2 linked regions of the Arabidopsis thaliana genome follow. The gene in region 2 interacts genetically with the main gene of each other region. Each region holds a gene or a part of one and is shown on either strand. Other genes may lie near its edges.

Region 1 (6,517 bases), on a different chromosome or scaffold from region 2:
ATTGATATTTGATAATCTTTACCAAAAATTCGCAATCTCCTTTAGAGTGAAAGCGAGTATAACCGTATGACCAAACTATTTTGAGTACCATTGGTAATTCCTTACCTTAAGCTTCCAGAGGTATTAGTGCTATATATTCATAGTGCCACCGAGTATTTTGAACTCCGAAATGATTTCTCACTATCCGACCACTCCCAATTATATAACATGCTTAGAATTATTCGTAAGATGGATCGTAGTTGCATTTTACGACACCATACAGGACAAGTCCATGATAGTTTGAGTTGGTGGATTTTGGAACCCCTGCAAATTTATTTTATACATAACAAAGGCCCCAATCCATTCCTTAGCATCACAACTTGGGACTTCTATCTTTTGAAGGATACATTCACTTGTTGGTTTTGGTAAATATGATTGTTTCTTTACTTCCGAATAAGCAATATATAAAAGTATCTAAAAACGGAAGTAACTTTTGATGATCCTAAAGGTTTTGTAATTGATACATGTCCAAAAACCTCTTAATATTCTTTCTCACAAACTGTTGATGGAGTTAACAAAGGGAGACAAGGTAATTGGGACAATATCAACGTTAGATACAGGACAAGTGAAAAATGTGGGGTTGATGTCTTCAGCTGCAGCATATCACCGTTGGTATATATTGTCAATTATTAGTCCTATGGATTTGAAACGTGTTTTAGTAAATAAGAGTGTCCAAGTGGGACATTTCCAATAACGTATCACAGCTCCTAGAGCTTTTGCTATGTTTCTCTAGGCCTGGGCCGCCTAGCCCACATTCCAAGCAAGGAAATGAATGGAGTTGGGCATCAAAATTTTGGAAGCATTTTTAAGACAAATTATCTTTTAAGTTTCCTTTTTTAAACATAAACTATATTTTAGGCTTTTTTAAGATAAATATTATTTGGATTTTCTTTCACTCATATTTTTGGATTTCAACTTAACAAAACATAGGGCGTGTCTATTTGACTCCACCTACCCACCCTACTGGAGTTCGATCCCACTAAATCGCGTTATCCCGCATAGTAGGGATTGACTATGGATCGGACTTTGTCGATCCAAAGATATCTAAGAAATTCAGAAAAGATTGTATAAAATTCAGAAACGATTTTACGAAATTCATGAAAAATGAGAAATACATGTTTTTTTTAATTTACGTCGGCATTAAAAACGTTGGACCGGCTCTGTGTTTCACCAAAGAAATTGTTTCAGTTTATGCATGATCTTCAACTTCCATATTCTTGTTTTCAATTCTGGAAATCCCTAACAGATCGGAGCTCTCCTCATTCAGTGAGTTGGAAGATTGCATGATTATATAATTACTCTTCACATCCACATATATTACATTATATTCCCCTATAATTTCATACAACCCTAGAAAAGAATCTTCAAGTAATCTAATCGTGTCGATGACTCCACTCATTTGCTAGAAAAGAAAAAACAAACAGACTTCATTTAGCTGAAAACAATCTTTTATTCAACATTACAAAGCACTGATCAAAGAACCTCTAACATGGTAATATATCTATGACATTTTACGTATCCTAAAAGAAAACAAAAAGTGATGTATTGGATGATGTTTTTTTTTTTTACTTTCTAGTTTCTTATTACAACGACAAAAAGAGTCCACGTCGTCACGCACTTTTCCGGTGGTGAAAAAAATGTCCAAATGGATTAAATCTATAATATCTCCAGAGAGATCCTCTCCTTCTATCTTTTTGGGCTCCACTTTTCCTATCTCTTTTTGCCCCTTTCCTCTCTCTGTTCACAAGTCATCTTCTTCCTTCCTCTGAATCTTGTTCCTTTTTGCTCTCTCTACTTGATTCACCCACTCTGTTTCTCGATTAGTACGTTGAAAACTCACTTTGGTTTTGTTTGATTCCTCTTTAGTCTGTTTTTCGATTTCGTTTTCTCTGATTGGTTTGGTGGTGAGATCTCTATCGTAGTTTGTCCTTTGGGTTAAGATATTTCATTTGATTGGTGGGTTTGTTTTATTGAAGCTTATTGTTGTGAAAGTTGGAGTCTTTCTCAGTTTTTAGGTTGAATTATTAAGAGAAAGGGAAGATTTTTGGTGTGAAGTTAGGTTATTTGGGGTTTGAGAAGTTTGCAAGTGAAAAAGGTTGTGAATTGTGAGTGATGAAGAGAGGGAAAGATGAGGAGAAGATATTGGAACCTATGTTTCCTCGGCTTCATGTGAATGATGCAGATAAAGGAGGGCCTAGAGCTCCTCCTAGAAACAAGATGGCTCTTTATGAGCAGCTTAGTATTCCTTCTCAGAGGTTTGGTGATCATGGAACGATGAATTCTCGTAGTAACAACACAAGCACTTTGGTTCATCCTGGACCATCTAGTCAGGTATTGTTTTGATTTTGATCATTGTATAGGCTCTTGATGTTATTAGTTGTATGAGTTTGGATGTTATATAGCCTGAAAGAGAAAGTAGGACATTGGTTGATCTATGTTTCAATTGTTATCAGATCATAGTATCTTCTTTTTGCTTATGGATTGAGCTTTTAGGATTGAATTCTCCTGTATATATGAGAGTCTTGTAGACACAAGTTTATCTAAGTGTGGTTTATTTCTTAAAACTAACATTCTTGTTGTGCCTGATTCTTTTTATGTTCTGAAGTTCGATGAAAGTTTCTTGTGATTGCCCTGAGCATTCAGACTATTGCAAGGACATGAGAAATAATCCTTTTTTACCCTCTTCAATGCAGCCTTGTGGTGTGGAAAGAAACTTATCTGTCCAGCATCTTGATTCTTCAGCCGCAAACCAAGCAACTGAGAAGTTTGTCTCCCAAATGTCCTTCATGGAAAATGTGAGATCTTCGGCACAGCATGATCAGAGGAAAATGGTGAGAGAGGAAGAAGATTTTGCAGTTCCAGTATATATTAACTCAAGAAGATCTCAGTCTCATGGCAGAACCAAGAGTGGTATTGAGAAGGAAAAACACACCCCAATGGTGGCACCTAGCTCTCATCACTCCATTCGATTTCAAGAAGTGAATCAGACAGGCTCAAAGCAAAACGTATGTTTGGCTACTTGTTCAAAACCTGAAGTTAGGGATCAGGTCAAGGCGAATGCAAGGTCAGGTGGCTTTGTAATCTCTTTAGATGTATCAGTCACAGAGGAGATTGATCTCGAAAAATCAGCATCAAGTCATGATAGAGTAAATGATTATAATGCTTCCTTGAGACAAGAGTCTAGAAATCGGTTATACCGAGATGGTGGCAAAACTCGTCTGAAGGACACTGATAATGGAGCTGAATCTCACTTGGCAACGGAAAATCATTCACAAGAGGGTCATGGCAGTCCTGAAGACATTGATAATGATCGTGAATACAGCAAAAGCAGAGCATGCGCCTCTCTGCAGCAGATAAATGAAGAGGCAAGTGATGACGTTTCTGATGATTCGATGGTGGATTCTATATCCAGCATAGATGTCTCTCCCGATGATGTTGTGGGTATATTAGGTCAAAAACGTTTCTGGAGAGCAAGGAAAGCCATTGCCAAGTAAGTTCACTAGAAATTTACAGTTTGGTTATTTATTCTCCGCTCTTTCTATTTATCTCCTTCTTTGATACCAACATTTTTTGCTTGAAAGAAGTTAATATTTAAGCATTGTTCCGTAGTCTTACTGAAGCTTTTTCCTCTGTTGTTTTTTGCTATTTTCATTGAGGACTGTGGTAGGGCATATTTCACTATCACCAAATTTCAAATTTCTAGAACACTCTCCTTCATATTTTTTTTCATGATTAATGCTGCAATTGATTGCTGATATACATATATGACTATAACTCAGTTTCATATTCTGTCTCATTTTGGGAGAAAGAGATTTCAGGTTTATGCTTGAGAAGTGATGGTTCTATAGTTGAGAGGCCCCTGATTCATCTAAAATGGTCCTATTATGTGTTTAGTTGTAGAGTCCTCGGTAGAATATTAACGCGTTTAACACGTTGGATCATGTTATAGCAGGGAGGGACATTCTCTGTTGACCTATATTGTGCAAGGTGCCCGCCGATGGCTTTATTACTATACCTTCTTTGCATCTGGTTGTTGGAACATGTCCCTGTCTCGGTTTGGTATTGCTTTTATTCTGCACTGTCGTCTTGGGCATTTTCCCTACTTGTCATTCAAGGGGTTGAACCAGGTAGGGAAATGTTTTTCCGAGGACCCCAGGATCTAAATTTTAGTTAACCATACGTAAAGTTAGTTTTGAGTCTTATGACGATGCAGAATTATAGTTTCTTCTTACTACTGCTTAAGAGGATCCTTAGTGTGGTTGTGAACTACAGAGTTTTTATGATTGTAGGCTTCATGACTTAACTTTTAAGGTTCAATGTACTCTAATCCATATGGTAAGGTATCGGATTCACGACCAATGCAAATAATAAGATTTTTATTTCTTGCTTCTTGTTAAATATCTGACATCTCATTTTGCAGAGGATAAGCTGCGCTGTAAGCTAGATTTCAATAAGCCCGTCCTTTGCATTGTTATCTATGCTTTAATATGTCATTGGACCCATTGATTTGGTTTTCTTCTATCTTTTTTGATTGGCTATGTATTCTTGTTTCTTTTTTCCTATCTCATTTCGATCGTATTGTTCCATTAGCTGTTCAACCTAAACTATGTCTCTCTTTGTTGAACTTTTGATGGATAATCTTCTTAATGTGACTCTGTTTCTCATTACAGTCAACAAAGAGTATTTGCTGTTCAACTATTTGAGTTGCACAGACTGATTAAGGTAAAGTCATTCAGAAACTTCTCATATGTTTCCATGAGTATTTGTTTCTTCTCGAGCTGAAACAAACCTCTTCAACTGTGTAATAATCAGGTTCAAAAACTTATTGCTGCATCACCGGATCTCTTGCTCGATGAGATCAGTTTTCTTGGAAAAGTTTCTGCTAAAAGCTATCCAGTGAAGAAGCTCCTTCCATCAGAATTTCTGGTAAAGCCTCCTCTACCACATGTTGTCGTCAAACAAAGGGGTGACTCGGAGAAGACTGACCAACATAAAATGGAAAGCTCAGCTGAGAACGTAGTTGGGAGGTTGTCAAATCAAGGTCATCATCAACAATCCAACTACATGCCTTTTGCAAACAACCCACCGGCTTCACCGGCTCCAAATGGATATTGCTTTCCTCCTCAGCCTCCTCCTTCAGGAAATCATCAGCAATGGTTGATCCCTGTAATGTCTCCCTCGGAAGGACTGATATACAAGCCTCACCCAGGTATGGCACACACGGGGCATTATGGAGGATATTATGGTCATTATATGCCTACACCAATGGTAATGCCTCAATATCACCCCGGCATGGGATTCCCACCTCCTGGTAATGGCTACTTCCCTCCATATGGAATGATGCCCACCATAATGAACCCATATTGTTCAAGCCAACAACAACAACAACAACAACCCAATGAGCAAATGAACCAGTTTGGACATCCTGGAAATCTTCAGAACACCCAACAACAACAACAGAGATCTGATAATGAACCTGCTCCACAGCAACAGCAACAGCCAACAAAGTCTTATCCGCGAGCAAGAAAGAGCAGGCAAGGGAGCACAGGAAGCAGTCCAAGTGGGCCACAGGGAATCTCTGGTAGCAAGTCCTTTCGGCCATTCGCAGCCGTTGATGAGGACAGCAACATCAACAATGCACCTGAGCAAACGATGACAACAACCACAACGACGACAAGAACAACTGTTACTCAGACAACAAGAGATGGGGGAGGAGTGACGAGAGTGATAAAGGTGGTACCTCACAACGCAAAGCTCGCGAGTGAGAATGCTGCCAGAATTTTCCAGTCAATACAAGAAGAACGTAAACGCTATGACTCCTCTAAGCCTTAATCCTCTCTATGCGTATTGTACTTGATATGTATTTTACAAAATTAGAAAAATTGTGATAGATGTTATCCTCAATATATGTACCATGTAAACGTATTATGGTGTAAGCCTCATTTATATGTGTTAATTTGTCTTAAAGCCTTGAAATCACTTGAACAACAAAGATTATTTGAAACAACTACTTACAATCACTGTTTCTTTTGTCTGTGACATCAAGAACTTAAGCATCCCATATTTACAACATCTTGTCTACATAGGAAGGAGTATAATTGGTAGTAAGATATTAATGGACATCGATTAATATAGGGCGGAGACGAAGATCAAGCACTGAATCCACGGTCAAGAGAGCTCCAAGGACTGGTAGGGATGGTGGGACAAGCCTGCATTGCTGCCTCCTCCATTTGCCTCATCTGAATCCCTGCGTTGCACATGTTTGCAATCGACCTCATGTGCTTTATTCCGTACTGAGACAACGATCCACAGTGCCTCTCGAAAGCTCTCACCTAACAACCACATAAAGGAGAATAAGAAAGTGATCATCACAAGAAGCTTAATCATCTAATGAGGACTGAAAGTGATTTTTTTCCGACATATCATATCGTATCTAACGTCCTGAGTCTTGCATCCTCTGGCCAATACCATTGTTTAA
Region 2 (4,972 bases):
TGGAGTCATGCTTTTATTTATTTTGTGGGAGAAGGCACAGCAGACAAGGCCTTGCAACTCAATGGAAGTGACATGGGAGGATGGACTGTCGATGCTGAGGCCGATCCCTTTCCGAAAGAAGAAGACAAGTAAACGGAATTTATTTCCGAGATTTGTATCTTTAAGATTGTTTTCTAATTATACTATATCATCTGCTGCAATCCAATTATTTCAGTTGCGTTGAGTTAGAGGTTGAAGGATACGATACGACACTTCGCTTAGTGAGTCTGATATCAAGTGCGAGTTGAGTAAACTTTTCTCTTCATGTGGGAAGGTTGATCATGTCATGATTTTCGATAGGTTTGTGGCTTGTTCCTCCCCAACCATATTTCCCCAAGTTAGTAAAGTCTAAACTTATACTAAAGACTTGTCGTCCTGGTTTTTTACAGCTTCTCTATAGTGTATCTACTGGGAGAAGACGCAATAGACAAGGCCCCAAAACTTAGTGGGACCGACATGGGAGGGGGGCGCAAAGCAGTTGTTCGGTTTGTTGCTTACCATGGAAGAAACATTTTCCACCCCCGCCGCCAGAAAGGCCGCATCATTTGTGGCCGCCCAGGTACGTCAATATCTTGTTGATTCTTGCTTCCTGTTAACCAAGTGTAACAAACTTTCGTTGTTACTTTATAGATGAAAAGCCAAAGATGGCTGCCATAATGAAGATAATTAAGAAGCCAAAGAGGACTGCAAAAAAGAAGATAATTAAGAAGCCAAAGATGACTTTGGAGTAGAAGAAAGCTCGCAGACGAACCTCTTGGGTGTTTTTAACTTGTGCAACCTTCCTTTTTATTTACTTGTTATGCTTTTTGTCTAGATGTTTAAGTTATTAAGCTCGCTAATCATCATCTGCCTTGGTTACCTAACGCATGATGTTTATGTCTGGATGTTAGAGTTATGATATGTTTATGTCTGGATTTTTATAAGTTAATCTCTGTTGATTAGGTAGAGACGAATACATTTTCATTAAAATCATATCATACTCGAGGATTCTCATTTTGATGAAGGGCTGAGAGCTACACTTGTAAAACTACAATGCATGGTAACTCAAACAATCATCTTGAAATGCAGATAGACCTGAGAGACTCCTCATGCTGCTCTTTCTTATTCCTACTTCCCTAAGTTCACGTCCTCTTGTGTTGATGACTCTGAAATCTGACTTGTTCACATATATCATTGTTAGCCGATAAATTGTCCTGTTAAATCCCATGGACGAGTTTCATATGACTTCCCAATGATACTTCGTTTATCGCTTACAGTTCCATCTTCTGTTTGGTACTCTGGAAAGTAATCAATGAATGTTTTTGTGCCTAACTCATCCACCCCATTGAACAGGAAATCCCTTAGCAGCTCCTGATTTTGTTCAAATCATTTTCAACATCTTCACAAGCTAATTAATAATGGGGACACTAATGGGATCAAATCTTTTATACCTTTGCCTTTGCTTCACCTACTAATCTTTTAAGAAGACCATGTCCAGGATCCTGCAAACACCAAATCAATATCCATTGTAACAATACAGATACAGTGTCTGTTCAAACATGCAAATTACACAAAAGGAAATGAAATCACCTTTTGTGCTCGCCATGTCAGGTACTTGTGTTGTGCTTCACAATTGGCTCTCACATGAGATGGTTCCATCTCCTCCCTCACTTGGATTGTCATCTCAAGCCATGCCTGTAGGAAGAAGATGATAGATTCTCAGTCAAAGTTTCCAATAAAACCTTAGCTTTTGGCCGCTGAGTATATACCTGATAGTACTCTAGAAACGCAGAGAACAAAGCCTTATGTTTTTCTTTGCTAGACGAAAACCTAGTCCACATCACCAAAGGCGAGAAAAACTTTATGGATTCACCAGTCAATTTCCCTCCCCATGGGAAAGTCTGCAAATAAATCTCAAGATCAGTCATTTACACCTCAGCATTAGGTTTACTTGCAATTGAGTAATTTGGTGTATTCTTGTGGTCACCTCAGCATATTTGTGATATATGGACATTATCTTGTTATAATACTTGTCTTGGTAATCCGTCTGGTCAGTCAACTGATGCAAAGGATTAAGGTCCCTAAAGAAGAACATACAGTAAAATATTGAACATCAGTTTGGACAATACAGACCTGATAACTCCAGCATAACTAGAAGATAACTTACAATACAACTATGTTAACGTTGGTAGATGTGAAAAAGTTAGCACAGAATATGGGAGTATCATACTCAGGCTCCATGAAACCCGCAAAGTCAAAGACCTAAGCGAAGATACAAACAATCAATCAATTGAAAGTAAGGAAATGGGACTAAAGCAATCAGTTTGTACTGCTGAAGTTAAACCTGCATTGTCTCATTCTCTATTGCCATACTCCTCAAGAGTCTAATCTTTGAAGATTTAAAAGCAAGCATTTGAAGTTCGGTCTTACCATCTAGTCCTGTCATGCTACTATACTTTTCCTGAAACAGTTTCGTGATTAGAAAAACAAAATCTGAACTTTTACTTATATAAGCAGTCTATAACAGTAAAGTTATTTGTTTGGTTCCTAATGACAACTCAAATCAATTTACCCAAAATTCACAGCAAGAAACAATGAGAAATATAATCCTCCCACTACACTAACGAAATGTAATTGCATATACCTGGAGATGTGAAGGTTCAAGAACGATCCTTTTCCTGGTTTCTTCTAAAGCAGACTCTGCGAATTCCTTATACGACACAGCAGAGACTCTAAGTAAGAATCTTTTCTTTCTCCTTCTCAACGTGAAATTGATCTTATTAGGGCTTGCAGAGATTAGAACAGGTGGGTTTGGTGCCTTGAAGCATGACCCAATTGAAAACCCAAACTCCATTGATAAAGCCATTACAACAAGACTCACAAACTGAAACCAAAGGTCTCCTTCCTCGGACACTCTCTTCAATTCTTCTTCATACTGAAAACTGAAAAAAGCAAGATTCTTTATCTATAAAAGAGATAAAATTTTCACAGTTTCAGTGAGACAAACGCAATTGGCAACGACAATGAATTTCAACATCCGTCCGAGTCATGGTCCAACTATAGGGCCCACATCCGCCACGTGGAATGCACAGTCACGTTGACGTGGGGAATTCAAAAGTTTAGGGGTGTTTATTGGTTTGTAATTTAAATAATTTTATATGTGATTGAAAAATCTGTGGTTATTCATTAAGATTTTATCAAAATTCTGCTAAAATTTAATGTTTTTGTTTTGTAAAAAATCTTCATAAATTTGGAGTTATCATATTTAAAATTTTATAAAATCAAGAAAATTTTTGTGTTTATCCAACTAAAATAAAAGAATTTATAATTGTTAATAAATTAAATTATTTTGTTATTGATTTATGATTTTTTACACTTTTATTCTCAAAATAAAGTAATAATAAGTATCATTAAAATAGAAAAATTGTTTTCTACCAAAATAATAATAATAGAAAGATTGTTTGATAAACTTTACAAGATTATGGAGTAACTAATCAACAAGATTATAGAAAACTCTCTAGCAATAGTTTATTATCTTTCATTTATTTATTTTGTTTATTTCTTATTTTTCTTTTTATTAAAGTTATCAAAATTTCTTTTAAAATAGAACTTCATAACATTTAAAGTTATTAAATTTTAAAAACACTATTTAAGTCACAATCCTTCTTCTCTTGGTTTAAACTTTCAAAACGTTTTCTCTTTACTATCTCTTTGTATTGTTCTTCTCTTCCTTAGCGTTCTCTGTTAACAATCTCCAATGGCTGAGAGTACAAAGTCAAAAAAGCTAAGTGTGAGACTTCTCATAGATGAACTGAAGAACAAGGTTGTCTTGGCTGAATCTGGTAAGGATTTTGTTGATGTTCTCTTTAGTTTTCTCGCTCTTCCCATGGGAACTATTGTTAGATTGCTTGAGAAACATCAAAAATCGCCTCAAGTGGGTATAGGATGTTTCAACAATCTTTACAAAAGTGTTTCAGAGATGGATCTTGAGAGTTTTCAGACAGAAGCATGTAAGCAAGTTCTACTGTATCCTAGGAGTGTGAATCTTGAGAAGTTCAGAAATATGAAGTTGAAAATTGATGACACTAGGGCTGTTAAGTACTTTGTTTGCTCAGGCTTTAAAGAATCCTGCAGACATCATTATAGCATTTCGAACACGGAGGAATGTGAATGTGGAGAAATTGTTGACTCGAAGGTTGTCAAAAGAGTGATGAATCGGGAGATTAAGGGACTTGAAGAAGAGCAAGTTCAAGGAAGGATTTTGAGAAAGGATAATGATGGAGTTTTTTTCAGCTGTAAAGCTTCTTCTTTCATTATAACAGATGATCTGAAAGTGGAGGCGAGCTCTATGGATAATGTTTTGAATACTCTCAGAGGCTTAGGCTACGCAGATACTTCCAAGCTCAGTGAAATACTTCTTCATGTCGGTGTCAGTGAGGTATTTTTTACTGTATCATCTTACGTTGGTCTTCGTAGTTTGAATATATATGTTTTGTTGAGTGTTTGTTTGTGTCATCAACAGGTACTGACTTTGCTGGAATGTTTCTTTACTTCGGACCTTCCTTTAACCGACACTTTTCTGAAGAAGCAAAGCTCATTGCAAATGATCAGATCTCGTATACCTCTAAGTCCAACTTTGCAAGGATCTGGAGATGGAGCAGTACCAGGCCAAACCATAACTTTTAAAGCATTTGTTAGAAAACCGAACATCAAGATTCTCTGTGTTGAATGTGGAGCAGACTTCATTGATCTTCTTTTCACTTTTCTAGCTTTGCCACTTGAATCTGTCTGGAACATCTCTGCAGGGAATATCAGTTTAGGTTGTATTGGAAACTTATTCAGAAGCTTCAAGAGAATTGATGCTTCATCCTCTTCCAAAACCAAGCTTCCTTCGTTTTATAGTTGCCCTAAACAGTTACTTGATGTCGTCACTGAGCAACAAGAGATCTATTGC

The links. Genes that interact genetically often act in the same process or in processes that back each other up.
Region 1: of HY2 (region 2) and ELF3, changing one enhances a phenotype caused by changing the other (phenotypic enhancement), as found in Arabidopsis thaliana (one study listed by BioGRID).

What each region holds. Positions count from the first base shown.
Region 1 is NC_003071.7:11,057,308-11,063,824, forward strand, and holds ELF3 (hydroxyproline-rich glycoprotein family protein), read left to right. Parts: upstream 1-1,636; 5' UTR 1,637-2,151; coding exon 2,152-2,370; intron 2,371-2,570; exon of another isoform or gene 2,571-2,732; coding exon 2,733-3,529; intron 3,530-4,709; coding exon 4,710-4,761; intron 4,762-4,851; coding exon 4,852-5,871; 3' UTR 5,872-6,017; downstream 6,018-6,517. Other genes in the region: ALPHA-VPE (alpha-vacuolar processing enzyme), read right to left, coding at 6,189-6,371. UniProt on the Arabidopsis thaliana protein: May be a transcription factor part of a circadian clock input pathway. Acts within a 'zeitnehmer' feedback loop and is involved in its own circadian regulation. Has no role in regulating circadian clock function in the dark.
Region 2 is NC_003074.8:2,801,577-2,806,548, reverse strand, and holds HY2 (phytochromobilin:ferredoxin oxidoreductase, chloroplast / phytochromobilin synthase (HY2)), read right to left. Parts: upstream 3,022-4,972; 5' UTR 2,885-3,021; coding exon 2,663-2,884; exon of another isoform or gene 2,480-2,662; coding exon 2,363-2,479; intron 2,281-2,362; coding exon 2,186-2,280; intron 2,100-2,185; coding exon 2,006-2,099; intron 1,920-2,005; coding exon 1,788-1,919; intron 1,714-1,787; coding exon 1,609-1,713; intron 1,521-1,608; coding exon 1,470-1,520; coding exon of another isoform or gene 1,464-1,469; exon of another isoform or gene 1,390-1,463; coding exon 1,216-1,389; 3' UTR 627-1,215; downstream 1-626. Other genes in the region: AT3G09160 (RNA-binding (RRM/RBD/RNP motifs) family protein), read left to right, coding at 1-128, 215-287; AT3G09140 (hypothetical protein (DUF674)), read left to right, coding at 3,776-4,972. UniProt on the Arabidopsis thaliana protein: Catalyzes the two-electron reduction of biliverdin IX-alpha to the tetrapyrrole chromophore phytochromobilin (PPhiB).